Linked DNA regions of Caenorhabditis elegans. The protein of the gene in region 1 purifies or fractionates together with the protein of each later gene. This does not show direct contact. Each region holds a gene or a part of one and is shown on either strand. Other genes may lie near its edges.

Region 1 (8,447 bases):
AAAGTTTAATTTCCCCTTATGATCTCGTCGAATTCAGTTAAAAACCGCTCAGACAGTAGTATATATCAAAAGTTGGAAAAGAACACCGCTATGAAACTTTCATGTTGACTTCAGAATGAAATTGTAATTATACCTGAAATCTGCTACAAGGTAACTTTCAAATTCCAACTTTTGATATTCTTTTTTTTTCATTAGGCCGTAAAAAATCGTTAATCGTAGTAAAAGATACAAACTGTAGCAAAAGATCGAAATTGGAAAACGTAGTAAAAAAAGTTACCGTAGTAAAAGATACAAATTGTAGCAAAAGATCGAAATTGGAAAACGTAGTAAAAAATACGGCCGTAGTAAAAGATACAAATTGTAGTAAAAGATCGAAATTGGAAAACGTAGTAAAAAATACGGCCGTAGTAAAAGATACAAATTGTAGTAAAAGATCGAAATTGGAAAACGTAGTAAAAAATACGGCCGTAGTAAAAGATACAAATTGTAGTAAAAGATCGAAATTGGAAAACGTAGTAAAAAATACGGCCGTAGTAAAAGATACAAATTGTAGTAAAAGATCGAAATTGGAAAACGTAGTAAAAAATACGGCCGTAGTAAAAGATACAAATTGTAGCAAAAGATCGAAATTGGAAAACGTAGTAAAAAATACGGCCGTAGTAAAAGAGTAAACCGTAGTAAAAGAGCAACGTAGTAAAAGATGAGGTAGTAAAAGAGCATTTGCCTTTTTTTTTGTGTTTTTTTGCGACAAATTTGATTTTCGTTTTTTTTTCGAAAAATATGCGAGAAAAAAAAAACGACAATTCAACTTTAAAACTCATAATTTTTAACTTCATACGTTTTCCAAAAAAATACACTCCAAAATACAACTAGGGTGCACTTTTGAACAAAAACTTAAATCTTTTTTGAAAATAAAATTACAAAATTTTTTGTGTTTTCGATTTTTTCGGTTTCGAAGAAAAACTTTGGATTCAGCACCGTTTTCGACCGCTTCAAAACAGAAAAATTGACAAAATTGGAGGTTTTTAGCTAAAATTAGCTTTTTTAGAAATAAAAAAAATTTGAGAAATTTTTAGGACGTTTCATTACAAAATTTGGGCACATCTTGAGTATAGTAAAGCAAAAAAATCTAATAAAGGTTAACATTTTTTAAGAGATTTAAAATTTGACAAAATAAAGAGGAGTTTCAGTTTTTAAAGGCCAACTTACTCTTTCCTTTCCACTTTCGCGAGTTCGTTCCTTTTCTCTTTCCTTTTCCTTTTTCTCTTCTCTTCGAAGTCGCTTATCTCGTTCACGATTTTCTCGTTCTTTATCATGCAACTCCTCTTTGATTTTCTCGCTGAAATTATTACAATTAAGAATTATCTAATTTTCATGAAAACTTACTCCATATTCTTCTGCTGTTGTGTTGCAAGTGTTGAATAAATTATTTTGAATTCTGCGACAATTCCATCTCCTAAAACTTCCTTTAGCTCTTCGTATTCTTCAAAACTCAAAAATGTGATAACCGCTGGATACGCTTTGGTTTTCAATTCTTTGATACATTTGAAAAATGCCTGCTTCCATCGATCCGATTGTTGATACATCTTCTTTTCAGTTACTTTGTAGAACAGATTTGCGACGAACGATTCGAATGTTTTGAACTGAAAATAGGAAAAATTCATCAAGGGTGTTGTTTTTCGATTATTACTTTAAAATTTTTTTTTTCGTTTTTTCCGATTTTCTCGAGAAAAAATAGGTTAAAATATTGGTCATTTTTTTCTTTTTGTTTTTTCATTAGCATAAACGAAATTTTATAAAAACTGAATTATAAAGTCACCTTTCTGAACATTTTCTTTTTGATTTTTCGTATTTCCAGAAAAAAATATACTGATTTACTGGAAATATAGCCAAACGAAAACAAAATAATACTCACCTTATGAAAAAGAGTATAAAGAGAGTGTAGAAATAGAAATGGAACATTTTCCCATTTGAAAACAGCTTCGATAGCTTGGGATGCGGTATCTGGCTTCAACAATGCTGGATCGAAAAGGAACTCGAGATCTGAAAAATGATTTTTTAAGGTTACTGTTTAAAATGGTATAACTTACTGTTAACAAGTAATTCAGCTTCATTATCATTTTTGGGCTCAATCTTGTGATACTCTTTGATAACTTCAATTGGATCGAACACGAGATTTCCGGTTTGTGGATCACGGACGGTATATAACTTTCGGAATAGGACATTCACTGACTTTTGATATTCAGCACGGAAAATGAATGTTGGAATAAGTCTGACAACTTCTTCTCGTTCAAGTCCTCCTATGATTGGTAGAAGAGCACGAATATCCATTTTTCGTTCGTCGTGAAGAATTTTCAGTTTTTGAATTAAATCAGTTGACGGCGTGATTCTTTCAGTTAGAAGAACGACTAAACGAGCAACAAGAGTTTCAGCACCATATGGACAATCTTCTATTAATGATATTACCATTTCTTGACTCAATTGACGGAATACAGGTTCCAATGAGCGGAGTACAACTCGCTTGAAGACATTGGTAGATTGTGCGTAGACTGAAGCTAACGGGATCAGAAGTAATGGGTCAGATGGCATCAGAGTAGAGTATACAGCCAACGAGTTCTTGTACATTTCATCAGTCCATTGATCAGAATCCTCAGAACTTCGCATGTACATTGGAGGACTTTCTTGTAGACAATCATGAATTTGCATTCTAGCCTGATCACTCAAGGAGCTTCTGATAAATGGAAGATAACACAGTTCCTTGACAACTTCTAGGCATGAACTACGAAGTTCCGGTCTTTCCATGAAAAACAGGCCAAAAAGGAATTGCAAAAGTTGCGGACGTTGTCGATTTCGTGTCATGATCAATTCACGGAGCATCGCCATTCCATGCTCATTTTCTTTAGCCAAACACACTTGCTTCAATCTTTCAATTGCATTCGGAGTCAAAAGTGGTGTTTCTAGTAGAACTTTATAAAAGAGAGCTTCTTTTTCCATATTTCTTTCCAACATTGCGTCAAGCATCTTGCACATTGCTTGATCATATCGATCCAATCTTTGTGCTTGGGTAAGTCCTTCTTGTCCAGCGATCATTTCCTTCATGAAGAGAGCACAGTTCGAGTAGCCTTGATATTGTGCGTAAAGTTCGCAGAGCCATAGAAGCGCCAAATCATTTCTCTTTTTATGATCAGCCAAAACGAATTCTATCAACTTTTCTTCAAATGGAGTACAATCTTCCCAGAATCTAGTCGTCAGCCGGACAACTAATTTCTGATACATCAACCTTGCTCCACCAGCAACAACTCGCCGTTCTGCTTGAAGAACTGATTCATAAGCTAATTCAAACATCTCCGCAGCTTCTTTATCGTCAAATACAACGGCTTCTTCTACCAAGTTGAACGCCTTTTTCGCTTTTTGAATGACCGGAAGAGTGTTAATTTCTTGAAGTGACTGTTTGACAATCTGGGCTGGAACGCGATTGCTCATATTCGGTTCGTGGATTGGTGTTTGGGCGATTGCCATTCCTTCACTTCTTGCCTTATTCCTTGCTTCATATTCTTTTTTCCTTTGTTGCTGCAACCACTCATATCCCGGTCCAATTTCTTTGTTCGTCATTTGAACAGCCATTAGTTCTGATAATTCTTGACGATTCGGTTCTGTTCCAGCGTTTGCTATTGGTGTGTATGATGATGCGAATGCAGCTGGCATTTCTGACGGTAGAGTGTAGAGTGAGATCTTGACAAGATTCATGACAGTTTCATGATTCAGGCATTCCATAATAAATTTGGCTGTCATATCGATGGCTTCAGTTCTCGCATCCTTTGCATTTACAGTGCTAGTGGATGGTCCTGCTTCGTCATCGTCATCATCATCATCTTCGAATATTTGATTTTGAATCTTGGGACGTTTGGCAACTGGTTCTGCAGGATGCTGTGGTGGCCGTGGCGGTGCTATTTTTTGAATCAGTTCAGGTGGAATCGACTGTTGTACTTCTCTGGGTGAAGCTCCCAGATAGTTTGTTAACATTGTGGTGATCTTTTGCTGGAGAGGAACAGATGCAGGCAATTTCAAAAAACGTAGCAAATTATATTTGAATGATTTTCTCAGAAATTTGACTTGTCCCTTGCTGAGCATTGGTGGTACATTTGAATGAAGAGCTTTTATAACATCGAAGACACGTGGCAACGCATTCTCCCATTGAGGTCGACAACGAGTAATCATACAGAGTGATTCAATTACTGTTATAAGATTTTGTGATGTTGCTTCCGCGACTGTTGTTTGCTTTAGTAAAGCACTGAAATTCTCCTCGGCTTCCAACTGGGTTTTATGATAGGATAGGAATCTATGACTTCGTGGAACATCTGATAGAGAAATCCTATTGAATCTAGTATTTGCCTCTCTTGCCCAGCTTATGTTGCTACCAGTGGCCAACTCTCTTGGCTTTGGAGATTGACACAAAATAAGAGCTTCCAGAAACTTTACGGTAACAGTTCGGACTCCTTCGTGATCATCGCTAACCAGCATACAAATTCGATTCTTGAGCAAATTAAAAGCATCCCAGCAGCTCTCCGCGTTGTCATTTTTATCCATGATTGCGAATTCAAGAACGATCGGATATAAGTTTGTTGATGCAACGACAACTCGTTTTATAACACTTTCATATCGTTTAATAGACTTATTGGGAATAAGATAAAAACTATATCTTTCGACAGTTTTGTTACATAACGTGAAGTCTTTAGCGCTTGCTTTGAGAAGAAAATCGACGAGAAGGCATAGAATCCTTGAGTCGTTCAGCTCTGCGAATTCCAGCATTTCGGTTAGAAAATTGTCGAGAATACTGATTGAGAGACTCGGGTCGATGAGCAGATGCATTGCCTGTAATTAAATAATTGAATATCGACTAGTCATTTCCCGGTAGATTTTTGTTTTAGTTCTTTGAAAAACTGTTCTTTTTATTTCCAAAAACACAACAAAAAGTAATTAAAATTTTGGTAGAAAACCATTTGTAAAAACTTACTGTAGAAAGAGAAAGAAGTTTCTTTTCGATAGTCTCCGCATCTCGAGCTTCTTTTAAAGCCTCTCCAATTCGTTCACTCGCCGTTTCATTCTCCTCGTTCAATCCCTGGATGTAGTCCATCTGAAATATTTAACGGTAACTTCAGAAAAAATGAAATGAGGGCCGGCAATTGCAATAGACAAGAATAATTGTATGAAATGACATAAATAACAATTAACAACCTTGTAATTATAAGTTATTTAAAGAAATTTCTAACTGTAAATGACGGAAATATATAATTATTCAAATTTAAGAAAATTCAACGAAAAATAGAAATTGAAAAACTTAGTGCGCGCCAAGTGTCAGTTGCTGGCGCACTTCGCGATTTGTTGGCGCGTTTCTCGTGCATGAATTGGAACCTCCAAAACTGCATTTCAGACCATTTTTTCATTGCGAATTCTCTGAAATTTCAGTGATTTTTTTTTCTATTTTCGACATGAATCCCGTGGAACCCGCGGATTTAGTCGATATTAGAGAACAACTACATTCTGGCTGTCACATAGTTCAGGCGAAGGTAATATTAAGATAAAATCTTCTATTATTAGAAATGCTCACACATTTTTCAGGGGTTCAGTTTTCTTGCCAATCGAATTATCAACAAAGAACTAGATGCGAAAGATGAGAAAAAATATCGGAAGCTGCTATTCGATTGCTTTGTCGTGGAGGAAGACATACTATTCAGATTTCTGATTGACACTTTGCCAATTCTTCTTATTAGAGGTAATCGTACTTTTTTTTTGCAATCTAAAGCAACTTTTTCAGGATCAAACTCACCGGAGACTCTATGGGAAGAGTTTACACTTCGTGCACCGAGAATACGTCGAATTCAAAGAGCTTTTGGAATGATGATAAGCCATTGTAAACCGTCATTTTCGTGAGTTCAAAAAGTGTATTCCTTTGTATATGGTAAATATTTTTCAGAAAATTTCTGGACGTGGCAGCAAGAATTGACAGTGAAATCTTGACTAAAATCTGCATTAGCAGCGAGTTTGGATACAACTTTTATCAATATATCGCAGTGCTTTCGTTTACTGGATTGCTATCGGATAGTCAGAAAAGGCTAGTAGGAAATTGTGGATTGGCCCAAAATGTGTTCTTAAAACATCAACCAGATTTGTACCCAACTGGGCACGAGAGTGAACATGACCCGGAATCTTTTTTGAGAGGTAAAAATATTTAATTGTTTGATTTCTAACTAAATAATTAAATTTTCAGAATGTTCCGCAGAAGATCTTCTCAGTCATCCTCTACATAATATTGATCCATTTCAACGTCATAAACTGATGCGAGACAGACCGGCCGTTCTCGAAAGTAAAAATCTTCCAAATCACATTCTCTACTTACCTTACGCGGTTATGCTCAGTCAGTACAAACAAGTCATTGTAAAACTTGTTGAGCAATCAAAAATGGCCGATCATAAACTTGCTTCGGAGAATCGAGTCAGTGGATGCAGGGATACATATTCATTTGCTGCTCCCGATTTTTCCGATCAAGATCTGACTTTTGAAACATTCATGTATCACACGATAGCTACTGGAAAAGTCACGTCTTTCATCAAATACGTTGAGAACTATCACGAATCGCTAGGAATCCTTCAAAAAGCTCATCTTCTTCCAGCACTTACTGTTTTTCTGACTCATTCATCTACGAATCCATCTCTTCAAGAAAGAATTTGCAAGTTAATAGCCTTGTTCGTCAAAAAAGCTCCAGAAAATGCGGATCAATTCGTGCTCTATTTCATTACATTATACCAGAAACCATTCTTTCCAATACACCGGCACCTGCTTCTCGAAACTATCAAGGATCTATTTGTTAATCGAGTGAGTAAATTCAAAAGTTCTCAAGAAATGTAAAATAATTATTTTTTTTCAGTTCGTCATAAGTTCTGCCTTCGGCTTCCTCAAAATCACTGCTTGTTTAGAAGGTGATCGTGTAAGATCATTGGAATGCCTAGCAGAGATCATTCCAAAATTCACACAGTTGTTCGAACCAATGACTAGTCTCTGCGCCTTGAAGAGGGATGATGGGTCCGACGAATCATTTTATGCGGAGCTTCATTTATTGAAGGAGTGCTGCAAAGTAACGTAAGTTTTGTATCATTTCTGAAATAAACAAAAATCACATTTCCTGAAATTTCTCACTTCAACTAAAGAATTTGCAGGGAAGACAACGAAAAAGCTCTTTCAAAGATCAGCAATTCATTAAAAGAATGTACAGGACCTCGGTTGGCTGCCATTGTGGATGCTGTTACCGATTTGATCAAGTGTGGAGTTCTTGATACAATAGGCGCAAGATCCATGCTTACAAAAAGAGCCAGGCAAAGAGGTTGCGAGCAATCATTAGGAACGTATTGTCGGTTATTATCAACATCCACTATCCCTGAAGAAAACGAGGAACAGGCTCGGATTTTGAGAATGTCTTGTATCGAGGAGCTAGCAAATCTCAAACAAAACGATAATCACACAGTTGCTTCAGAAGCGTGGAGATCGCTAGGAGCATTTGAATTGGATGAACTCGAAAAAGGACTGAAAATAAATCCTGCACAATTTGCCACTCTATTCGTCAAATTAAGAAAAGAAGTTCAAAATGGATTTATCGACTTCCTGAGTCTGTGTTTGCACAAAGAAGTTGAATCGTACCAACGACCACTATACAATACTAGTGCTCAGGATGTCAATGTTTCACCGTTGCTCACAAAAGTGGATACCTTCAAAGATAAATTGATTATTGAAAATAAGAATGAACCATGGTTCTGGTCAGCTTCACTCTCATTATCTGCATCTATTCTTCAGCTCACAGGCCCTACCAATCGGGCTCAAGCATCTGTGCGCCTCCTTCAATCCTGTTTGGAAAATGTTGTTCCAGCAAGTTCACACGATGAAATGATTCGATTGATGGCTGGATGGAGAATATGTATCAGAGAAGTGCTCCACGTGCTCACTGAGTCGAAAAGTAACGATATTCTCTGGGCAAGAGATCAGATCATCAATACTGGGCGAACAAGTTTAACGAACAAGGCTGAGTCAGTTGACAATATAATGATGATGCTCACAGCTTTGGCAGATGCTATCGATCAACAGCTTAGAAACATCGAGAATGATGAACAAGTTGAAGAAGTATCCAAGGCTCAGAATCCGTGGTTGTTATCCGTTTATGAGTTTGTTGCTACCCGCTTGCCGAAAAATTTGAAGGAGAAACGAGTTGCGAAAAATGAGCCAATATATCAATTGATAACCCATTCAAATAAGTCTTCCCTACTCACTGCCATATTCTGTTTGCGTCTTCTGTATTTAAACCCAAGTGTTGCTGCATTTTACAATGATGAAGATGTTGGACTCACTGATGATCGGATGCTTGTCAGTTTATTGCAAGATTCCACGAAAGAGCTTAAGAA
Region 2 (4,836 bases), on another chromosome or scaffold:
AAAAATTTCTCGGAGGTCTTGATTTTATTTTTCTGTGTAACTTTTATTCGTATATTTGAATTTTTAATTATCAAATAAAAAATTTCACGAAAAACTGTGGAAAAATCGATGAAAATTCGTTCAAAAGCTTCATAATATCAGTTTTTAAAAATTTGGTGCTTTCTGGTGATTCTCGAAGAAAACTGGAAAACTACTTATTAATTCTTTTTTTTAATTAAAAAAAGTGAAAATTCCAAAAATCTGCTGAACTTCTCCACTCACTTATACAATTTTTCATCTTCATCTTCAACCATTTTCGTTGTAACCACAGCATCTGCATCATGAACATGTTCCGAATCATCAAGACGTCCTCCACAAACAGCACAGACACCGTCTTCTAGATGCTTTTTAGGAAGTCCTTCAGGAGTGTAATACTGAAAAATTGGAATTATATTGATTATTTTTCGGCAGCAGGTGAAAAATGTATTTTACCCCGATTCTCGACGCCATTCTCGCCGTGCAAATGTGAGCAAAATCCCGGCCGAGCACTCCGTAATACACACCATAGAACATGAAAAGGATGCCTGGAAGCTTGAAAATTAGATTTTTTCAAAATTTTTCCAAAATTTCTCACCGGCATCCATTAGTGTTGGCTGTGAAACTCCGAATAAAACATGAAATCCTAATAAAGCTCCCATCATGATCAAATATCCAACAACTCCGAGTACATAACTCAGTTTATGCAAAAATAGAAACCATTTGTAGACGAATCTTAAATTATTTCGTTTAATTCGTCTTTTTTATTCTTAAAAACCTTGGTGTTCCTCCACTGATATGTTGAGCCGAGGCTTTCAACCAAATAAAAGCTGAAAAAATGCAGAAAACAAGCCACGTGGCCAGGAATCGATACCAGGATCGGTTGAAACAAACATAAACTGGAATTGTGAGCATTCCTATTAATGTACACATCTGTAAATGTTTGAATATTAAATAAATGTTTAAAATTAATAAAATTAAATACCTGATAAGATTTAAAATGCTTCCTCTTCCAGGTGACCAGAAAAATCTGTCCAACGATGACAGAAATCATGAAAATAACCATCATTTCCATGTGCATCGCTTCGTGTCCTTTATGCTTTTCGTGCATTTTTCGGTGCTCCTCTGCCCATTGTTCTTCTTCTGTTAGCTCGTGTGGAGGGGGCTGAAAATAAAAATTTATAATAGAAATCATTTTACTTTTAATTAAACTATTTTAAAATCAATAAATACTTACCATTCCTTCCTGAACTTCATTCTGCAGCCTAATTGCCCCATGTTGGCCCATTCTATGGCCTGAAAAAATAGAAATTATTTTGGAAAACGTTATTGATTTTTCGAGAAGGTAAAGCGGACTCCCGCGTGGAAAGTGACCAATTTTAAAAATTGAACGAAAAAAACACTTTAAATTCAATAATTGATAAAAATAGTTGAGTTGGTTAACTTTGCGACAAGGAAATGTCGGAGAAAGATTTGCGGTGAAAATCGAAATAAAATAGGAGAATGTCATCTGCGCGCGGCATATCTGCAAATCTTGTGTGCCAGGGTTGCAAAGAACGCTCCGCCCACAAACATTCGAATGCAAATTTTGGCGTTTTGCTTCTTTTTTCTCTTTTTTCTGTATAACCAAACAAATATATTTTATATTATCCCTTTTTAGAGCAAATTTATCTTTTTTTTTCAGAAAAATGAGCAACGGTCAACTCGTGTCTCAGGTGACAGTTGGTCACGATAAACCATTAGATCGTGAGAAAGTATGTCCGATGCTTCTTCGCGTCTTCGTTGCTAATAATCGTCATAATCCGATGAGCGAGTACAATAGTAGAAATGGAGGATCTGTTCCACCCAGCGAACTTCAAATGCATACTTGGTACGCGGTAGAAATAGAAAAATTAGTACTATTTGGCCGAAATTATAGAACTTTTGTCTAATATTTTCAATAATACATTCAAACTTGTAAGTTTGGTTAACCTGAAGTATTTTTTTTATTTTCAGGATGGACTGTTCTCTGCGTGAATTGACCAGTCTAATCAAAGAAGTGAATCCGGACGCTAGAAGAAAGGGCACCACATTCGATTTCGCTATTGTGCAGGCAGACCGCGGCTCGCCAAGATACATTCTACGCGATGTGGGAAACACGACGAATGGAGAGCGTGGCATTGATGACAACAAAACTGTATGTGATTTTTGACACCACGGAACCATTAGAATTTTATTTGAATTCGGAAATAATATCTCCAATATTAAATTCGTTTTGATTGAACTTTGTTTTTCAGCTACAACAATGCAAATTCGAAGTCGGTGATTTCGTCGACGTCGCGATTTCCTTGCCAAGTCAAGGACGTCGTTTCAATAACCGGGAGCAGGGAGACCGTTTCGATCATCGTCAACGCCAACGTAGTCCGATTCGCTAGACGCCTAACTGTGTGTTAAAATTCAATGATACTCTTCTGTATTTATTAATGTGTCGATTCTTTTTTTTATAACGTGCAATGTAATATTCTGCGTAAATCATGTTTTCCTTTACAATTGTTCAACATACTTAACAATTTACAACAAAGTTTACTTTCACATTTACTGGTCAAAATTGCAAGCTATTTAATTTTAAAAAAGTTTTGTTTTGTGATTATGCAAAAATCGGAAAAATGATCGCGATCAAACTGCTTTCAGCGAAAACTAAAATTTCTTCTCGAATAATTTATTGCTTAATAAATGATAATGGACGGGGGGTAGAGCAAGTAAGATTATTGAAAATCGAAATTTCCAAAAACGTTCTAATTGGAAGTTTCTTTCGCCTTCGAAAACTCCTAATAAGAAAGTTGGAGGAAATTCGCACAGAAAAAAAGGCAGGTAAAACAGGAGTATCTACTATTCAAACTATGTGTCAATGTACTCTACTCTAGATTAAATTACAAAAGGATTCTTAGTTGAAATTATAAAAACATAAAGGGGAATACGATACAATTATGGGGAAAAATGTAATAAAGAATGTTCAGAAAAACAAAAGCATGGGAATTTAAGTACTTGTATAGAGAGTAGGTATAGGGTAGTGGATAAAAAATGTTGGTAATATGTAAAGGGGGTGAATACGTGACAATAAAAGAGAGAATCTCGGGATTACGCCCAGAAGTTTCGCTTCGGAATGGTCATTCCGTTCATTGCAACGGACATCTCATCAACAATGGCTGCCGCCAGTTCTTCTCGCATGTCTTCGTTGATGAGTTCCGAATGGTCTTTGATGATGCGGTTCTCAACTGCTTGCAAATTCACGTAACGCCTGGAAACATTTGTTTTTGATAAAGATTTTTAGGAAAATAAACTATTACTGATGAATTTTGTAATTGTTGCGTCCTCGTTTAGCCAGATTTTCTGCCGCATAAAGAACATCTGGAACCGATGGTGGCTGGTAGGACACTTGATGACCGAATGCGCGGAAGTACGTCAAGTGCATGAGCTCGTTTTTAGACCATTTGGCATCATTGACAAGGATCGTGTACTTGCACGGACGAACGGTACCCTAAAAGAAACTTTCATTTAATAAATTAACTAATGAACAACTTACAATAAGCGGCGTCTGTGAAGACAAAATGAACTCGTCGTATCCGTAGGATGTCAGGACATTCTCGACACATGTTCCAGATGGGATGTTCTGATCCGTCGCTCTGTTGCCACTGATACATGATGGAAAAACGCGAGCATGTGAAGCTCTTTGTGCGATGATCACCACGAGATGTGGACGGTATCCGGGCTGAATCTTGTCAAATGTTCGTCGCATCTCTTCGACTTCTTCCTTAACACGATTGAAGTTTCCTTCTCCAGCACCAACACGATAGATGACGATTCTTGTTGGGAGTGTCTTCGAATGCTCCTTGTACGATCTGACACACTTTGGGAAGAATTCATCAAGTTTTTGAAGTTTGTACTCCTTTTGGGTTTGAAGGTATGTGAAGCCTCCGAGCTGCGTCGAGTTGGTCAGGGAATACGAGACTCCAACAACTGATGGCTCACCATCCATTTGTGATCTACTGCGATCGAACAAAGTGCGTGATGCGCCATGAGAAATCTCGAATCCGATGAATTGTACATGTTCGAGAAGTTTCTTTCTCAATGTTTCATTGTTTGAGCACACTGCTTTTCCACGCACAGCATTCGGGATCTCGACGAAGAAGTTGGTTCCACCACACTTGAGGTTGAACTTTCTCATGACGTTGTCAATCGTTTGGCGTCCACCTTGACCTCCCATCATTTTATCGACAGTCTGTTGACACAATTGGATTGTTTGCAGGCCAATCGATTCCTCAAAGTATTTGAGTATGTCGTGAACATCCGGCTTCTTCTCCCTTGCTATTCCAACAAGAATGTCCACTCTATCATCGAGCCATTTCTTCATCAGATTTTGGATAGCAACGGAATCACTGGAGTTCAATTCACGGATGGACCAATCTCGCGAGTCCTTTTCGACCGTGATTCCATTGTCACGACAGAAATTGGACAGCTTGTCGCAGAAATCTCTGAAAATAGAATATTATAAAGCAGAAGAAAACAACGTTCGACTTACTCGGCCTGTCTCATTTGGATACAGTTGTCAAAGACAACAATACCAATTTTTCTGATCCGTGCTGGTTCGACAAACTTGTCCTGTGTGCGGAACGCTGGACGGCTCATGTCAGGCATGTAAGTCTGGCCCTTGAACTTGATTTGAGCTGGTGGGAGGAGCTTCGCAGTCATTTGGATTGGCTCAGTCGACATCAGTTTGATTCCGAAAGCATCCATGTACTTATTTTGTTCAAGCTTCAAGTTGTCGCGGAGAATATCTTGAAC
Region 3 (7,636 bases), 1.4 Mb from region 1:
ACCACTATCGTTTCTTTTTATAGACCTTTGTTTTAGTCTGTCGTCTCGAATGGGAGGAGAATGGTGGCGAGTGTGAAGTAGCTCTTATCGTTACTGAAAAAGTAAGAGTTTTCAACAAAACTTAAGAAGACAAAAGAGCGAACATACCGAAAAAGTAGGGAAACGATTAAATTGGTCCCGGATTAAATCTTGAAGTAATCGAATATTAAAAATGATGTGAATTCATAAATAATAATAAAAAATTCCACGAAAATTTCCGACCGGGTAGTTTACTGTGGAGTCACGTAAAATGATTCGCTTTTCAGTGACAAACATTTCCTTGAACTGGTTTGTTCTACTGAAACTACCGCACTTTTGAGCAAAGTACACTCAAAATATTCATGAAATGTCGGACAAAAGTTTAAGCGTTTTTGGGTGGTTTTTCAAAAATTTCAAAAAAGCATATGTCACAAACTAATAAGAACACTTTTAACATACAAAATATTGGTTCTAGCTTAACTAAACTTTCACAAAGTTGCAAAATGTTTGCAGATCTTTTCCTCTAAAAACCTGAGTCAAAAACATATGAACTCCCAGATTTGGTATCTAGATATGAATATTAATAAAGTTAGTTGTGGCAAAGAAACATTAGAAACTCCTGTGCATACCTAAACCGGCTACAACTACATTCAACTTTTGTAATAATTGAGATGCTCTGATTTAGTGAAATTCCCATGAGGTTATAAAACTAATTATGGACCATTATTCAATCAAAGTACAGTAACCTTATACAAACTCACATTCAAAAAAACACAAGACAACGAACACAATAGTTTTCATAAATAAACCAGTTAAAAAATCCAGTTAAAAATAGTCTCAAATAGCTACTATCGATCCTTTTGTACTCATGGCCACTCTTGCAAACAATCACAACAAAGTTATTTAAAAAATTGCATGTAAATATATTCAAATATGATCTACGCTAACATTTTACACCTGAACATGTGCAGGCAACTTTGTTTGGAATTGAGTCAATATGAGAGTTCTCAAGACAGTAAGAAGGCTGAACTGCAAACTGTTAAACAAAAGTCTTCGGGGTTCCAGTTCTCGCTTTTCTACGAGTTGCTTCTCGTGCCGAGACCCATCCTAAAGCACGGTTCAAGTTTAAAAATTGAATAAAAAACAGAACAATAGTCTTGAATCTAATTCTGAAATAAAAATGAAAAAAAAAAGGTAATACCCCCATAATGTTATCCTTAAACAAATAGATAATAATATTTTTTTGTTTTCTTCCCATTTCTCTGTTCCTATTCAAATTAGTACTTCTCATTAAAAATAAGTGTGTTTGTGATAATATTACTTTGAAAACTGATTTAAACCCGTTTTTGTTACGATAACAAAAACTTTTGAAAATGCGTATTTCGCAACATATTTGCCGCGCAAAATATCTCGTAGCGAAAACTACAGTAACCCTTTAAATGAGTACTGTAACGCTTGTGTCGATTCACGGGCTAGATTTTTGAAATAGATTATTCTTTTCGATTAGTGACATCGATATTCAATTTGCCTCTTTTTAATTTTAATATTATATCGATTCATTTCAAAAATCAAGCGCTACAGTACTCATTTAAAGGGTTACTGTAGTTTTTGCTGTGAGATATCTTGCGCGTCTAATATGTTGTGCAATACGCATTCTCAGAAATTTGTGTTTTCCCGTAATAACAGAAAAAAGATCAAAACTCATGTATGTAAAAAGGTGTCTTTTCCGGTGCAAAATCCTATTTTTAGACATTACCACGAACTCGTAATCAGTCTACGAAAACGATTAGATGGTTCTTATCAGAAAAATTAGAATCGGCTCATTGAGCTCCCATGAGAATCCGTATACATTTGAAATGTCGAACAAAAAATGCTTCGACTTTTTGATCTTCCAAAAAAAAATTTAAAAAAAAAACTTCCGCCGAGCCTCAAATGTTTACAAAAAACATGATGATATAAATAATCGACTTATTTTTGCCTGTTCACGTCACCTGAAAACAATGAAAAATAGTACAATGGTGTCTGTTTGTGATTGATTTCAATTGTTTATCACATGCTCTACATTTCTGAAAACAAGGGGGAAAGTCGGCGTGTGCTCGTCGATTTTTTATGAGCACGGTTTCCTTGACATTCTCCCGAATTTCCAACAAATTCATACAACTGGAGGCGAATTTCTCGCGGTTTTATCTGAAATGGAATGCGGCGACCTAGCTACTGAAAGAAGTCAAAACTTCTTGGAAAAAAAATTTTTTTATTGAGAATTTTGTGGAATTTGAAAAAGTATATGAGATCATTTTACAAGACAGCGAACTGATCATAGAAGAGACGACGAAGTTTGTAGTAGTCTTTGGTGAAAGCACCTTCCATTTGGAAGACTCCAGTATCATTACGACGAATCGAACAATTTCCTGTAAAATAATATTGTGCGGTTGGCAGTGTGCCAAGTTGTGACTACCTCCGTTGATAAGAAGAGTTCCGCTGAGAAATTCTGCCTTGTACCCTTTGTCTGTGAGAAGGTTTTTGAAGTCGGAAAGTTTCGGATCGTTGACAAAGACAGCCTGAAACAAAAAGTTGAATCTATAAAATGGTTTTTTGATTTTTAAAAATTTTTCAAAGATCAGGTTCTCTCTGACGTCAAACTAGAGAAATGCACAGAACAATTAATATTATTGTTATCAAATGGAGCACTTAGTATGATTGCGTGGTGAAAAGTTTGTGCGTAATAAACGGCCGGATTAGTGACATTTTTGAAAATTGATGGAAACAATGTGACTATTTTTAGAGAATATTGATATTTTCTCGCCGGAAACATTAAATGACCATGTGAGGGTTCTTAGATTTTGTTTTTAAAAATACATTGAAAATTGGGAGTTATATCCGAATATCACTATAAAAAATTTGCATGAATAACTTTTTCAATTTTGCAAAAATTAATCAAAATGTTTTTTTAATTCCCGCGCAAATGGAATTTTCGTGTTTTCTGGAAAATTTTCAGATTTTTTTTCAGCTAAAATTTTTTTTATTGTGCAGCAACATACTTTTGCAATATTGCAACAAAAAAAAAACATTTTCAAAAATTCAGAAAAATTGTACAATTTTTCTAACAGTTCGATCTAGATTCGAACGTTACGGCCATGTTTCTACCTTCTTTTTTTCAAAAATTGCGCTGAAAGGTGGTAATAATAGTGGAAATAACATTTTTTCAAATAAAAAAATGGTTAATTTAAAACAAAATCTAAATCATTTTTATAATTTACCTGGTGAATAGGAATTAGCCGTTTCGGTAGAGGATCGAGAATGAGATTTCCACGTATTTTTCCTTTTGTTCCCTTTTTCGTTCGACTATCATTTGTGTGCCCATTTTCAACCTCTTTTCCACTTTCAGATATCGCCAGCGACTCCTGTGAACCGTTTTCACCCTGAAATTCCAAATGTTTTGAAATAGTTTTAAATATTTTCAGCTTACAATTTCCATTGGTTCGGCATTTCCTTCACCCTCCGTGGCTCCGTTTTCTTCTTGATCATTGACGTCTTCCTCTCGATTTTTATCATCGATCATGAGATTAGATGTTCCTACAGCTAGCATATTATCGATGGCTTCTTTTTCCATAACTCTAGCATCGATCCACGCAAGACTATTTCCTTCGGAAACCTCCTTGAACTGAATATCAGCTAAAAGAGCATCACTAAGAGCCACTTGATAAATGAATGATTCAACTGAGGCATCTACAAGTGCTCCGGCTTCCGGAGCTTTCAACATTGTTGTATCAAAGCCGCTATCGGCAAAATAAGCAACAAGATCACGAGTATCGTCTCGTGATCCATGAACTACGATAATCTGCCGAGGAAGTAGTCCAGCAAGAAGTTTCTTTGTCGATTCACCATCAGATATTCCCTCATATTCTATAAATTCAATTCGGCACGAAACTTCGACACGATTCTTAAATTCGACGCATTTCGTCGGCATTTCTTCAACATGATCGTTCGGATTATAAACTTCTTCTTCTTCTTCTCGTTTCTTCACAACTACCGGTTCATCTTTATTTTGTCCTTTCCGTAAATCAATTTTTGAAATCACAGTGTAGTCTTCTGGTTTAATAACTTCTCCATAATCATCCCACTTGACTTTTTCTTCGATATAAGGAAACATTGGAAATGATTTTTTAGTTGTCTTGAAGAATGATGCTCTGAAAATTAAAAAATTAAATTAAAGACAAATCAAACGTATAAAACTTTTATAAAACAAACTTTTGTTGATTATCCCATTTCGCCATAATATCAAAAGTATGCGCATCATTTTCCGAGCCATCAAACGAACGGAAATCTTTTTCCGAATGCCTTGGAACAATTGGAGCAGCAATATCATCATCATCACTGTCATCACTCTCATTTGCCTGTGCCTGTCGTCTAGCTCTTTCCATTCGAAGTCTAGTTTCTTCTGCATCTCTTTCAGCTTTTCTTCGTTTATATTCCAAAAGTTCTTCTCCTTCCAGTGCAACTCTCTTCTTCACAACTAAACTAATCAATCGATCTTCGTGTTTCAGAACACCATCATTTGCTCTTTCAGCCATATTGACAAGCTTTGCAGCAAGAGTGAATGAAGCTGGACGTGCCGTTAAAATCACACCGTTTCTTGGATCAGAACACCAATCGAGGAATAATTCTCTAGAAAATCCTGATTCCATATCCTGACTACTGCACAACACAACTTTCGGAGATCTAACCCTCATCAATTCCTGATGTGAATGACAGAGTGTGACATGTTTCAGTGTGAAAGGATTGTAACGGGCTGAGCTGGAATCATATTTGAAAAGCTTCTCATTCATCCATTCTAATTGAGATTTTGCGAATTGAACAACTGAAGATGCTACATGTGACATCATGACGAGATTATACGTGGATAGACCTGCATCAGCGCTGAAATTTTTATTTTTAATAATTTTTATTTCAAATTAAAAGAATAACTTACTTGGACCATAATTGATCTAAAAGATGCGCCAGCTCGAGAACTCTTCCAGCTGTATCGATTACAATCATACAATCTCCTTTTTGACGTACTGTTCGTAAAATTTTCGTCACCAACTGCTCGTCTCGATCTTTTCGTCGCATTTGCGGAAGTGAAATGTGATGAGCTCCGGTAATTAGTAAATGTGGTCGGTTGAAATCTGGAAATATAAATATGAAATTTATCTGAATATTTAAAAGAATTAACATACTATCAAATGAGCATCCATTAAGATGTCGTTCTTTTTTATGATTGAAATCAACACAATAAACAATATCTTCTCCAGTCACTCGACAAATTCTCCAAATGGATCCTCCTAACATGTGCCCGGCAGGTAATGCTGTGAAATGAACTCCAGAATCTCCTTTTAAAACGACTGTCTGATTATATTTCACTTGCTCGACTTTTTCGAAAGCTGTATCTACATCATCGAGAGTATAATGCTCAAATTCTTCTACATCCAAATGACTGTAAACCATATCGTAGATGAACATTTGACCCATTTTATATACCGGCACCTAGAACGATATTTTAATTAATTAGAAAAATGTAAATTAAACAAACCGTCGCGTAGACAGGAGCTGTTAAACCACATTTTGAAACTAAATATGGTAGTCCGCCAAGATGGAGAGGATCTGGATGAGATATGAGAACTGCACTGATCTAGAAAAATTATATGTTGAGAATTTAGAAAGTTGAATATATATGAGCTTACTTTGGGAATAAAAGGTTTTAATTCTTCAAAATATTGTAACCCGAATCGCTCATCCCAACCACAATCCAATAGTATATAATCACCATCCACTTGTAAAAGGTAACAAAGAGGTCCTTCGTCTTTTGCACCGGAAAACACTTTCAATTTGATAATGGAGGTCATTTGATGTGTCTTTTAGGTTTTCCCGCTGTTCTGAAAATATTCAAATTAAAAAAAAAAATTGCGATAAAATAACAGCTTTTTGAAGCATAAAACAAATAATTTTCGCAGGAGACCGCAAAAAAATATTTTTGAGTTTTCCACTGAGTGTGCAAACACGGATGTGTGTATGCATCACAATTGACGACAATTTATACACAGTACATTTTTGTTCAAGTTCCAAAATACCTGCGAGGATCTCACTAAATTTACGTGACGAAACCGAAAATGTTTTCGGTTTATTTTTTCGAAAAAAAGAACACGACCTTTTTGGAAGTTAATGGATTTCTATCAATATCAGTTTTTCGACCGTTTATGAAAATACACTATATTATACTATTAAAATCTTATGAGTAGGAACACAGAAGAAAAATAGTTTCAAATGTTATATTTAATATATTTATTTCAATTGTTCTTCTATCATAAAGACACATAACATTGAGGAATTATTGCTGTTGATACACATAACACAGTTTCTCAGTCAGCCTTCGGAAGCAGATGATCGCCAAGTGAAGTAGAGCCAGTAGGAAACACAAAATAGCGAAAAAACTGTTGGAAACAACCATCGACTATCTGAAATTGTACTAATTTGAAAATCAAAAGTAGATATACTTAAACCAACATTCGTCAATTTTAAATGCTATTCGTTCGTTTTTCTCCGAGCATCGAGCACATGGTTTGTTGGTGTCAAATTTGGTGAATAATCGAGAAGGAACCGGAGTGACTGACATCAGCGCCTATAAATTATGTACATGTATGATACATGAATACGTGTGACTTTAATAAATTAAACTTACAGATGATTCATTAAGGCATGCGGATATTCCATGAGTCAAAGAAAATTGCTGAGATTTTTTATTCCGATTCAGGTCGGATCCCTCGGTATTATTCGCAATTACTGGCTTGTTGTTATTAACAATCGACTTTCGAGCCTGAAATAGTTTTGGAGTCAGGAAAAAACTTTAAAAAAAAAGTTAAGCTGAACCTAAGCCAAAAAAATTCCAAAGTCTAATTGAAAGCCTAACTGAAGCTTAACCTTAAATCTTTGCAAAATATAGGACCTAAGCCCAAAAGCCTGAGCCTAAATCTAAGTCTAAGCCTAGGCCAACAAGATTATCCTTTAGGAGCTATTCTACTATTACATGTAAGATGAAGCCTAAACAAGCCCGATATCTGACCTTCTCCTCCCTTTTGCATTCCTGTACTCTTTCCTCATAGAACATATTCCGATGTGAACAATCCGTAGTCCTTTTTGTCATATAATACGAAACAAACGAATATTCCAACAATACCAAAAAGATCAACGCTTGCGAGAATGTCAACCATATATCCAATGCTTTGATATAGGAGACCTGCGGCAAATCCTGTCTTGCTCCGTTGCTCATCGTCGTCAAAGTGAGTAATGAGGTGATTGTAAGTGAGATACGTGCTGGACTGGCACGCGGGTCCAACCAGAATGACATCCATGAAATGGAGACGAGCATTCCTGTTTTTTTTTGAAAAGAATCAATTATTTTTATTAGTTGGTCTTCTAGAAAATTGGAAATTGCTTCCAAAATCTCAAAGATTACCTGTGGGAATGTATGTTTGAATTATGTGGAATAGTACAAGTCGTTTCATAACAATATATCCTTGGATGCAGCTCCAAGCAGCTTCACCTCGAAACATTGGGTACGGTCCGGCGCATTTTACAAATCTTT

What was found. Proteins that work in one complex are often made in the same cells at the same time.
Region 2: the proteins of symk-1 (region 1) and C16C10.4 fractionate together in Caenorhabditis elegans (co-fractionation; one large-scale study listed by BioGRID). This does not show direct contact.
Region 3: the proteins of symk-1 (region 1) and cpsf-2 fractionate together in Caenorhabditis elegans (co-fractionation; one large-scale study listed by BioGRID). This does not show direct contact.

What each region holds. Positions count from the first base shown.
Region 1 is NC_003283.11:8,566,998-8,575,444, reverse strand, and holds the start of symk-1 (DUF3453 domain-containing protein), read right to left. Parts: upstream 5,135-8,447; coding exon 5,015-5,134; intron 4,873-5,014; coding exon 2,091-4,872; intron 2,044-2,090; coding exon 1,916-2,043; intron 1,644-1,915; coding exon 1,387-1,643; intron 1,340-1,386; coding exon 1,210-1,339; intron 384-1,209; exon of another isoform or gene 1-383. Other genes in the region: F25G6.9 (Signal recognition particle 14 kDa protein), read left to right, coding at 5,490-5,567, 5,620-5,773, 5,816-5,927, 5,975-6,219, 6,269-6,873, 6,926-7,137, 7,215-8,447.
Region 2 is NC_003281.10:4,169,637-4,174,472, forward strand, and holds C16C10.4 (putative histone deacetylase complex subunit SAP18), read left to right. Parts: upstream 1-1,699; 5' UTR 1,700-1,703; coding exon 1,704-1,885; intron 1,886-2,010; coding exon 2,011-2,191; intron 2,192-2,291; coding exon 2,292-2,429; 3' UTR 2,430-2,587; downstream 2,588-4,836. Other genes in the region: E3 ubiquitin ligase rnf-121, read right to left, coding at 262-413, 472-563, 614-750, 794-948, 1,001-1,180, 1,253-1,303; Argonaute protein hrde-1, read right to left, coding at 3,133-3,292, 3,342-3,532, 3,578-4,526, 4,574-4,836. UniProt on the Caenorhabditis elegans protein: Acts in transcription repression. Involved in the tethering of the SIN3 complex to core histone proteins.
Region 3 is NC_003283.11:7,177,472-7,185,107, reverse strand, and holds cpsf-2 (putative cleavage and polyadenylation specificity factor subunit 2), read right to left. Parts: upstream 5,937-7,636; 5' UTR 5,901-5,936; coding exon 5,739-5,900; intron 5,687-5,738; coding exon 5,588-5,686; intron 5,542-5,587; coding exon 5,235-5,541; intron 5,184-5,234; coding exon 4,988-5,183; intron 4,936-4,987; coding exon 4,267-4,935; intron 4,206-4,266; coding exon 3,485-4,205; intron 3,438-3,484; coding exon 3,276-3,437; intron 2,577-3,275; coding exon 2,474-2,576; intron 2,427-2,473; coding exon 2,314-2,426; 3' UTR 2,250-2,313; downstream 1-2,249. Other genes in the region: lgc-39 (Ligand-Gated ion Channel), read right to left, coding at 6,418-6,509, 6,559-6,673, 6,734-6,868, 7,115-7,422, 7,508-7,636. UniProt on the Caenorhabditis elegans protein: CPSF plays a key role in pre-mRNA 3'-end formation, recognizing the AAUAAA signal sequence and interacting with poly(A)polymerase and other factors to bring about cleavage and poly(A) addition.